2 linked regions of the Macaca fascicularis genome follow. The protein of the gene in region 1 purifies or fractionates together with the protein of each later gene. This does not show direct contact. Links are inferred from orthologs where the notes say so. Each region holds a gene or a part of one and is shown on either strand. Other genes may lie near its edges. The genes, in order: SIKE1 and STRN.

Region 1 (3,829 bases):
TGGACATAGATAATTTTCAGAAATGAAAATAACATTGCTTGCATCAGATCAGATTTCACCCACAGAAATGACTAAGGCCTTATCAGAGTTGGCATTGGATGAAAACTTAATCCTTTATGGAAAGGGAATCATCTGGCCTTCTATTTCTGAAATAGACTAAAGATTACTCATTTATTCTCTGCAATTACAGCCATCAGATCCTTTGAAATCTTGGAAGGCGTGAGAAGATAACATGACTGTAACACAAATCCATATCGAAGAGCCCAGTATTTAAAAATTCCCCATGTTCACATACTGAAGGGTTACTTATGAGCTGATGCATATCACTGATAACCATAGGATTATCAACTTGATGTCTGGGCAAAGAGTGAAAACAGAAAATGCATTCTACTCTTCACTTCTTGGTTTTAAATATAAGAAACATTATATATTTGTTTAAAAACTGTATCCCTGGCCAGGCGCGGTGGCTCAAGCCTGTAATCCCAGCACTTTGGGAGGCCGAGACGGGCGGATCACGAGGTCAGGAGATCGAGACCATCCTGGCTAACACGGTGAAACCCCATCTCTACTAAAAATACAAGAAAATTAGCCGGGCGAGGTGGCGGGCGCCTGTAGTCCCAGCTACTCGGGAGGCTGAGGCAGGAGAATGGCGTGAACCCGGGAGGCGGAGCTTGCAGTGAGCCGAGATCGCGCCACTGCACTCCAGCCTGGGGCACAGAGCAAGACTCCGTCTCAAAAAATAAAAAATAAAAAAATAAAAACTGTATCCCTTAGTAATGGTATCAATAGAACATATACAACTGGAATGAGGATCCCCTTAAGGAGGCCTTCTTTTTTTTATTTAAGTTCTAGGGTACATGTGCAAAACGTGCAGGTTTGTTACATATGTATACATGTGCCATGATGGTGTGCTGCACCCATTAACTCGTCATTTACATTAGATATTCCTCCTAATGCTATCCCTCCCCACTCTCCCCACCCTACGACAGGCCCCAGTGTGTGATGTTCCCCACCCTGTGTCCAAGTGTTCTCATTGTTCATTTCCCACCTATGAGTGAGAATATGTGGTGTTTGGTTTTCTGTCCTTGCGATAGTTTTCTCAGAATGATGGTTTCCAGCTTCATCCATGTCCCTACAAAGGACATGAACTCATCCTTTTTTATGGCTGCATAGTATTCCATGGTGTATATGTGCCACATTTTCTTAATCTAGTCTATCATTGATGGATATTTGGGTTGGTTCCAAGTCATTGCTATTGTGAATAGTGCCGCAATAAACATACGTGTGCATGTGTCTTTATAGTAGCATGATTTATAATCCTTTGGGTATATATCCAGTAGTGGGATGGCTGGGTGAAATGGTATTTCTAGTTGTGGATCCTTGAGGAATCGCCACACTGTCTTGCACAATTGATTTTTTGGAAAAAAAAAAAATTATCTGTGAATACCACAAGATCACTTTACTATGGCTTTATGTCTAAGGACTAAAATTATAGTGAAACTCCATTGTAACTTCTGTATCATAGATTAAATGAACTTTTAAAAATCATAATGCACACACTTTTATGTTCTTTATATAGAGAGAACAGGTGACTTTTCCACCTTTGTTTCCTTAATATCTTCACAGGAAATTGAGAGTCAGATTGACAGAATCTGCGAAATGGGAGAAGTGATGAGGAGAGCAGTTCAGGTGGATGATGACCAGTTTTGTAAGATTCAGGAAAAATTAGCCCAATTAGAGGTAAGATTGTAGCTATTTTAGGTTCACAGTATTTCAGAGTTTTCGGAGTCTGGAAGATATGCCATCACTATCCCATCACTGTAATATATTAATGTTTTCTGTGTGCTCATGATTTAAAATTAAAACTCCTCCTTCATACTCTTTGATATCCTTTTGAAGAAAGGAAATATAGTAAACAGCAATCAGTGGAAATACCAACTATGTATTGGCAATAACTTGAGATATTATAATGGGAAGGTAGAGGGAGTAGAGGGGAGAAGTTATATGTGAGATAAAATCCTTCTTCTGCCATAATAAGTGAAGTAGATAATGTCTAAAATTAATGATCAGGAAATAGCAGTATAAGCATATTATTTAGAATTACAGAATTAAATACCAAAAGAAATAGATAAAAGTGTTAAAAGTGGTTGCATTTGGGTTACAAAGCCAAAGAACTGCTTGTATAAGCCTTGTAGTCTTGATTTCTTAAAAGCTATGTTAGGTCATATTTTGATTAAAATAGGAATATTTTAATATTCCTATTTTAAGGGAGCACAAAAAAGGGTTTGGGGCATTAGTGTGCTCATAAAATTGTTAAGGATTTCAACTTTCGGAGGCTGAGGTGAGTGAATTGCTTGAGCCCAAGAGTTCAAGAGCAGCCTGGGCGATATGGCGGGGACCCTGTCTTTACAAAAAACATACAGAAAATTAGCCGGGTGTGGTGGTGTGCACCTATAATCCCAGGTACTCAGGGGCTGAGGTGGGAGGATCACCTGAACCCAGAAGTCAAGACTGCAGTGAGCCATGATCATGCATGCCACTGCACTCCAACCTGAGCGACAGAATGAGATCCTGTCTGAAAAATTAAAAAAAAAAAAATGAAGCATTTCAGTAAATGGTTTGTGTGCTGCTTATTACAAGGTACTGTCCTGGGGCCTTTGAGAAATACCAGAGAGAAAAACACAGGTACCTGCCCAGAGTCTAGTGGAAGGGATAATCCTAGTATCATATGATATTAAATAGTATGTAAATGCTAGGAGACAGATACAAATACTGAAGATTCATCGACCACAGGCTCTAATCTCTTAGTTACTCTAGCTGGGACTTCCGCACATCTTGGTGAAGCTAAAAATGCTTTGGTTTACCAGAATTTTCTGCAGAGAATAAGGATGAAGAGCGGAAGCTACTCTCTCTAGAAATCAAAGGTAGTGACAGGTCCCAAGGAGGAATTAGGAGCTAGTGAAATGATAGCATGACCTTCTATTTATCCTCGATTTACCTCACTTATGGAAACAGCCCTAAGGAAATGTGGGACAAATTCTACCTTAATACTTCAAGTAGAAAAAACATGACCACTAGATTCAGACCCCAGTAATACCACATCCAAGTTGTCTGAATTTGGACAACTTTTAGGAATTTTGTGAGCCAGAGCATCCTCATGAAATACATGGATGTAGGCAATGATACCTACCCTACAGATCATTGTGAGATAGCATATACAGGGCACCCAAGTAGTACCCAGCTACATGCTCAATAAGTAATTTCTTTCCCCCTTTCCTTCCATTTCTCTGGAACTATAAGATATCCAGGAGAGGAGATTAATCAGAGTGAAACGATTATTAGGAATTTTTTAAATAAAAGAAATAATAGTAAAACTGTGGGAACCATGAAGAATAAAACATAGTGAATTCCTCAAATGGAGAGGGACCCTGTTTTTTGTTTCTCCTTTGTAATTGTAACACTTGGTATATAGAAATTACTCAGTAAATTACTACTACAAAAGAGTATCATTGCCTACATCCTACATGTAAATGTTTGTTAAATGAATAAATAAGTAGTATTTAAGGAAATTCTCAACTAGTGGGTTTTTTGTTTCCTTAAAATTTTTTAAATTAAAAATAATGTTTTCTGCTCCTGGCTCAAAATAATGTGTTGTTGTAATGCAGCTTGACAGTAAATATACCAGAAATAAACATGCCTTTTTTTTTTCCAGCTTGAAAATAAGGAACTTCGAGAATTATTGTCCATTAGCAGTGAGTCTCTTCAAGCCAGAAAGGAAAACTCAATGGACACTGCTTCCCAAGCCATCAAATAACTGAACTCTGAATGA
Region 2 (3,829 bases), on another chromosome or scaffold:
TCGCAGGGGAGAACTTGGCCTAACTTTCCCGTTTTCTTCTATTCAGTCCCAGCTATCAAGCTTTTTAATTATCCATTGTAGCATGCCCTACTTACTCAACAGGGACAAGCTAAACTTGTATTCGCTCAGGCCTGCCTAGCGAATTAGAACAACCTCAGAAATAAAGATGCCTATTGGGGGAAATTTGAAACAGACCTCAGGCTCACAGATTCAGCTGAGCTTGCAGCAACCTGAACAAACCTTAGTTTTAGAAAACAGTATATGAATTGCAAAACTATACTTCAACAAATGTTCTCTGTGCTCCTTCAGCAGAACAAAAGGGCAGGACGAGTTGATTCTTGCCCTCGTCTTCTGTATCTCTTTTGTGCAGTTGATTACTTATAAACAGCTAGAAGGTGAAGATGATACATTGCGTCATACAAAGACTTTAGCCAGTGCGTCAGCTCCAGCACTGGCTATGTAGCATTTGGATGGGTGGAAAGCTACATCATGAATCGATTCTTCAAACTTTTTTCGATGAGCTGTGAATTCTTGGATACACGTCTTACTTTCTAGATTCCATAAACGTATTGAACAGTCATGACCTATACCCAAAAAAAATTGAAAGGAAAAATTACATTAACATGAAAATGGTAAGGACAAATAAATAATCCACAGTTGAGGTACTTACTGCCAGACATCAAATAAAGGCCATTAGGATCAACTGCTAAACTTGTAACAGCTTCTAGGTGGGCTACCATCGAGTGGATCAGTTTGCCTTTGGAAAAAGAGATGGATATTCCTTATTAATGCCTTTCCTCATCGTCTATATATGCCAGTTACCATGTCATGCTGGTGTCTCCAGTCATCCCTCTCTGTGTGCTTACTGTATGAACAGCTTTTTCCATCAACTAAAACAACATGTCTCCCCTCTTGCCTCTAGTCATGGCAATGACACGGAAAACCAAAAAAGCTCAAATTTTAGATTACACTTTTGTCTTTTAATCCACAATATGGAAGTCAGTAATTTCTACACACACCCCTTAAGCCACATTTGTTAATTAGAACGTAGACATTATTAATCACCTACTTTGCATTCTTTAGCTACTGGCAACTTATGAGTTGTGGAAACACAGAATTCAAATTCACAGAGAGAAAACAATGACGCAAGGAAAAAGGGACAGAAAGAAAACATGGCCATAATTTTGGTGGATACAACATATAGAAAAAAATTTTAAACATTAAATATTCATCACCAGCAGCTAAACAAAGTCACCAAAAGTCAACATGTTAAAGGCAGATACTTAGATAAATATGGCAGCTAATATACGGTGCTTTCCTCCCAGCACAACGCTTCCTAAATTTCCTTTATACTGGTGAAATGTAGTAAAATAAAACTTGGGCAAGTCTCCATGCACAATTCAAATCAATGAGGACCAACTAGTCAGTTTTATAACACAGAAAATATTAGTCCATGGAAAAACGAATACAATGACCTGGAGGTTTTCCATCTGCAACACTAAAAAAGGCTATTTGATAACGGAATAATTGAATATTGAATAATGCTATTCAATAATTGAACAACATAATGACCATATGCCTCTATTTCCAATGTTTCTACTTTTCCCCAACATATACTACTACAACAGATCACAGTAACAGATCATTTTTATTGGTATTTGAGTGAATTTTTCCTGGTGTCCCTAGTGATAACCTTGGCTCTAAAGCCTACATATAGCATTTGCTCACTATTAAATAAACCAAAATGATTCTGTACTAGTCTTAGCAGATTTGGATGGAATGAAGAGAAACTGAGCCGGGAGAGTATCTGTGTTTCAGTGCCTATTCCCTGACTACGAAACCACCAACAAACACCAAAATTAGCCTACTTGTGGTAGGGATTTTTTTTTCTTTAATAAAAATCAATTCTTAGTAAGTTCTTACCTGTATTGTTATCATAGAATTTGATGTGCCTGTCTTCATGAGCAGTGATGCTGATCGGAAGAGTAGGATGACTGATGACTCTATTTATTTGGCAGGAAGAGTTGGCTGCTAAAAAGAAAAAATTAAAAAGCAACACAATTTAGTCAAAGATATTTTTCACATAAAGAAGAACTAAATTATCTGCCTAAGAGACTGAAAAAGTAGGCTGGCCATGGTGGCTGAGGCCCATAATCCCAGCAAGGTGGGAGGCCAAGGCAGGTGGATCACGAGGTCAGGAGATCGAGACCATCCTGGCCAACATGGTGAAACCCTGTCTCTACCAAAAACACAAAAATTAGCCGAGTGTGGTGGCGCATGCCTGTAGTCCCAGCTACTCAGGAGGCTGAGGCAGAAGAATCATTTGAACCTGGGAGGCAGAGGTTGCAGTGAGCCAAGATTGTGCCACTGTATTCCACAGCCTAGGTGTCAGACCGAGACTCTGTCTCAAAAAAAGAAAAGAAAAAAGAAAAAAAAGAAAAAGAAAAAGAAAAAGTAAATAATGTGACTTTTATTATTTGTTTTTAGTTTATTTATGCTGTGATTGTTTTCAAAATTTCAATGTTAGGAAAGAGAATTGCCTGAGCTATACTATACTGATAAATCTGGAAATATTTATAAATTATAATTTCCTGCTATATGTGGGTGCCACCTAAGGCTTAGTCTAGAACCACTAACACTGTTCATTCTACAACGTTCTGTAAGATTTTGCTATTTTAGTATAAGTAAGTTCTATCATCACTTACAGGGAGGTAATTCTCAAATTTAAATCTCAGCTCTTTTTGCATACAATGTTTTGTATCACATCATTATCATCTAAAGATAAATATGACAAAGAGAGCTTCTTAATCCTTAAATCCCTTTTTCACTCTTCCTCATCATAATAGAAATGGTCATCATTTGACAGAACCAGGTTTGGAATCCTAAAAGTCAGCATCTTAACTGTATTTTTTGTTAGTAAGTTCCAAAGAAACTTCAATTATATATACAATGCAATAGGAAAGCACATATCAAGCCCATATTACAGTGAACACATCAAGGTCCAGAAAAAGTTGTGACTCCTCCACAATCAGGTGACAATATCAGTACCTATTCTAACTTCTAACTCTCTCCCAACCTGATGGTTCATGCAGATCACACAACTGCCAAAATTGGTTCCTAAATGATCACACATTCTTCCTGAAAGGGTTTTATTAAAAAGAAATCAGTAATTTAAAACCTAAGTGATTTCTGTTAAGCTTTTTTTTAAGAGAAAAGAAACACTGACAAAAAGAAAACACTAATTGAAGGTATGTCAAAGTTTTAAAAATTAAATTATGGTCCAGGGAGAGAAAGGGACATCCTTGTAAAGTATATTACCGGGACAACTGTCAAAATTTGAATATAAATAGTAACTCAGATAATAGTATTGTGTCAATGTTAAGTTTCCTGATTTTGATCATTGTAATACACTACATCAGAGAATGTCCTTGTTCTTAGGAATTACACGCTAAAGGATCTAGGGGATAGGAGCATGATGTCTCTCATACGGTTCAGAAGTTAAAATTATACACATATATAGAGTGAAAAAGTAAATGTGACAAAATGTTACAAACTGCTAAATATGTGTGAAGGGTAGCCAGGAGTTCTTATACTGTTTTTGTACCTTTTCTGCAAGTTTAAAATTATTTCAAAATAAAGTGTTTTAAAAATTTTTTGAACCCTAGAATAGGTATTACAAGTTTATATTCGCATAATAGAAAATACAGCTAAAAACAGTCTAATCTTACAGAATTTTCATGTGGCTCCTAGAAATATGACATCTTAAAAACTGAAGATAGTTTATTCCCAAAGATAGTGGCAGGTAATTACCCAGCCTGTTATTTAAATA

What was found.
Region 2: the proteins of SIKE1 (region 1) and STRN purify together in Homo sapiens (affinity purification with mass spectrometry; 4 studies listed by BioGRID and IntAct, with this or other methods). This does not show direct contact. The link is inferred for Macaca fascicularis from reciprocal best matches to the Homo sapiens genes SIKE1 and STRN.

The regions. Positions count from the first base shown.
Region 1 is NC_088375.1:119,594,811-119,598,639, forward strand, and holds part of SIKE1 (suppressor of IKBKE 1), read left to right. Parts: intron 1-190; coding exon of another isoform or gene 191-223; exon of another isoform or gene 224-366; intron 367-1,626; coding exon 1,627-1,740; intron 1,741-3,712; coding exon 3,713-3,814; 3' UTR 3,815-3,829.
Region 2 is NC_088387.1:85,337,076-85,340,904, reverse strand, and holds part of STRN (striatin), read right to left. Parts: intron 2,032-3,829; coding exon 1,924-2,031; intron 758-1,923; coding exon 671-757; intron 585-670; coding exon 415-584; 3' UTR 1-414. UniProt on the Homo sapiens protein: Calmodulin-binding scaffolding protein which is the center of the striatin-interacting phosphatase and kinase (STRIPAK) complexes.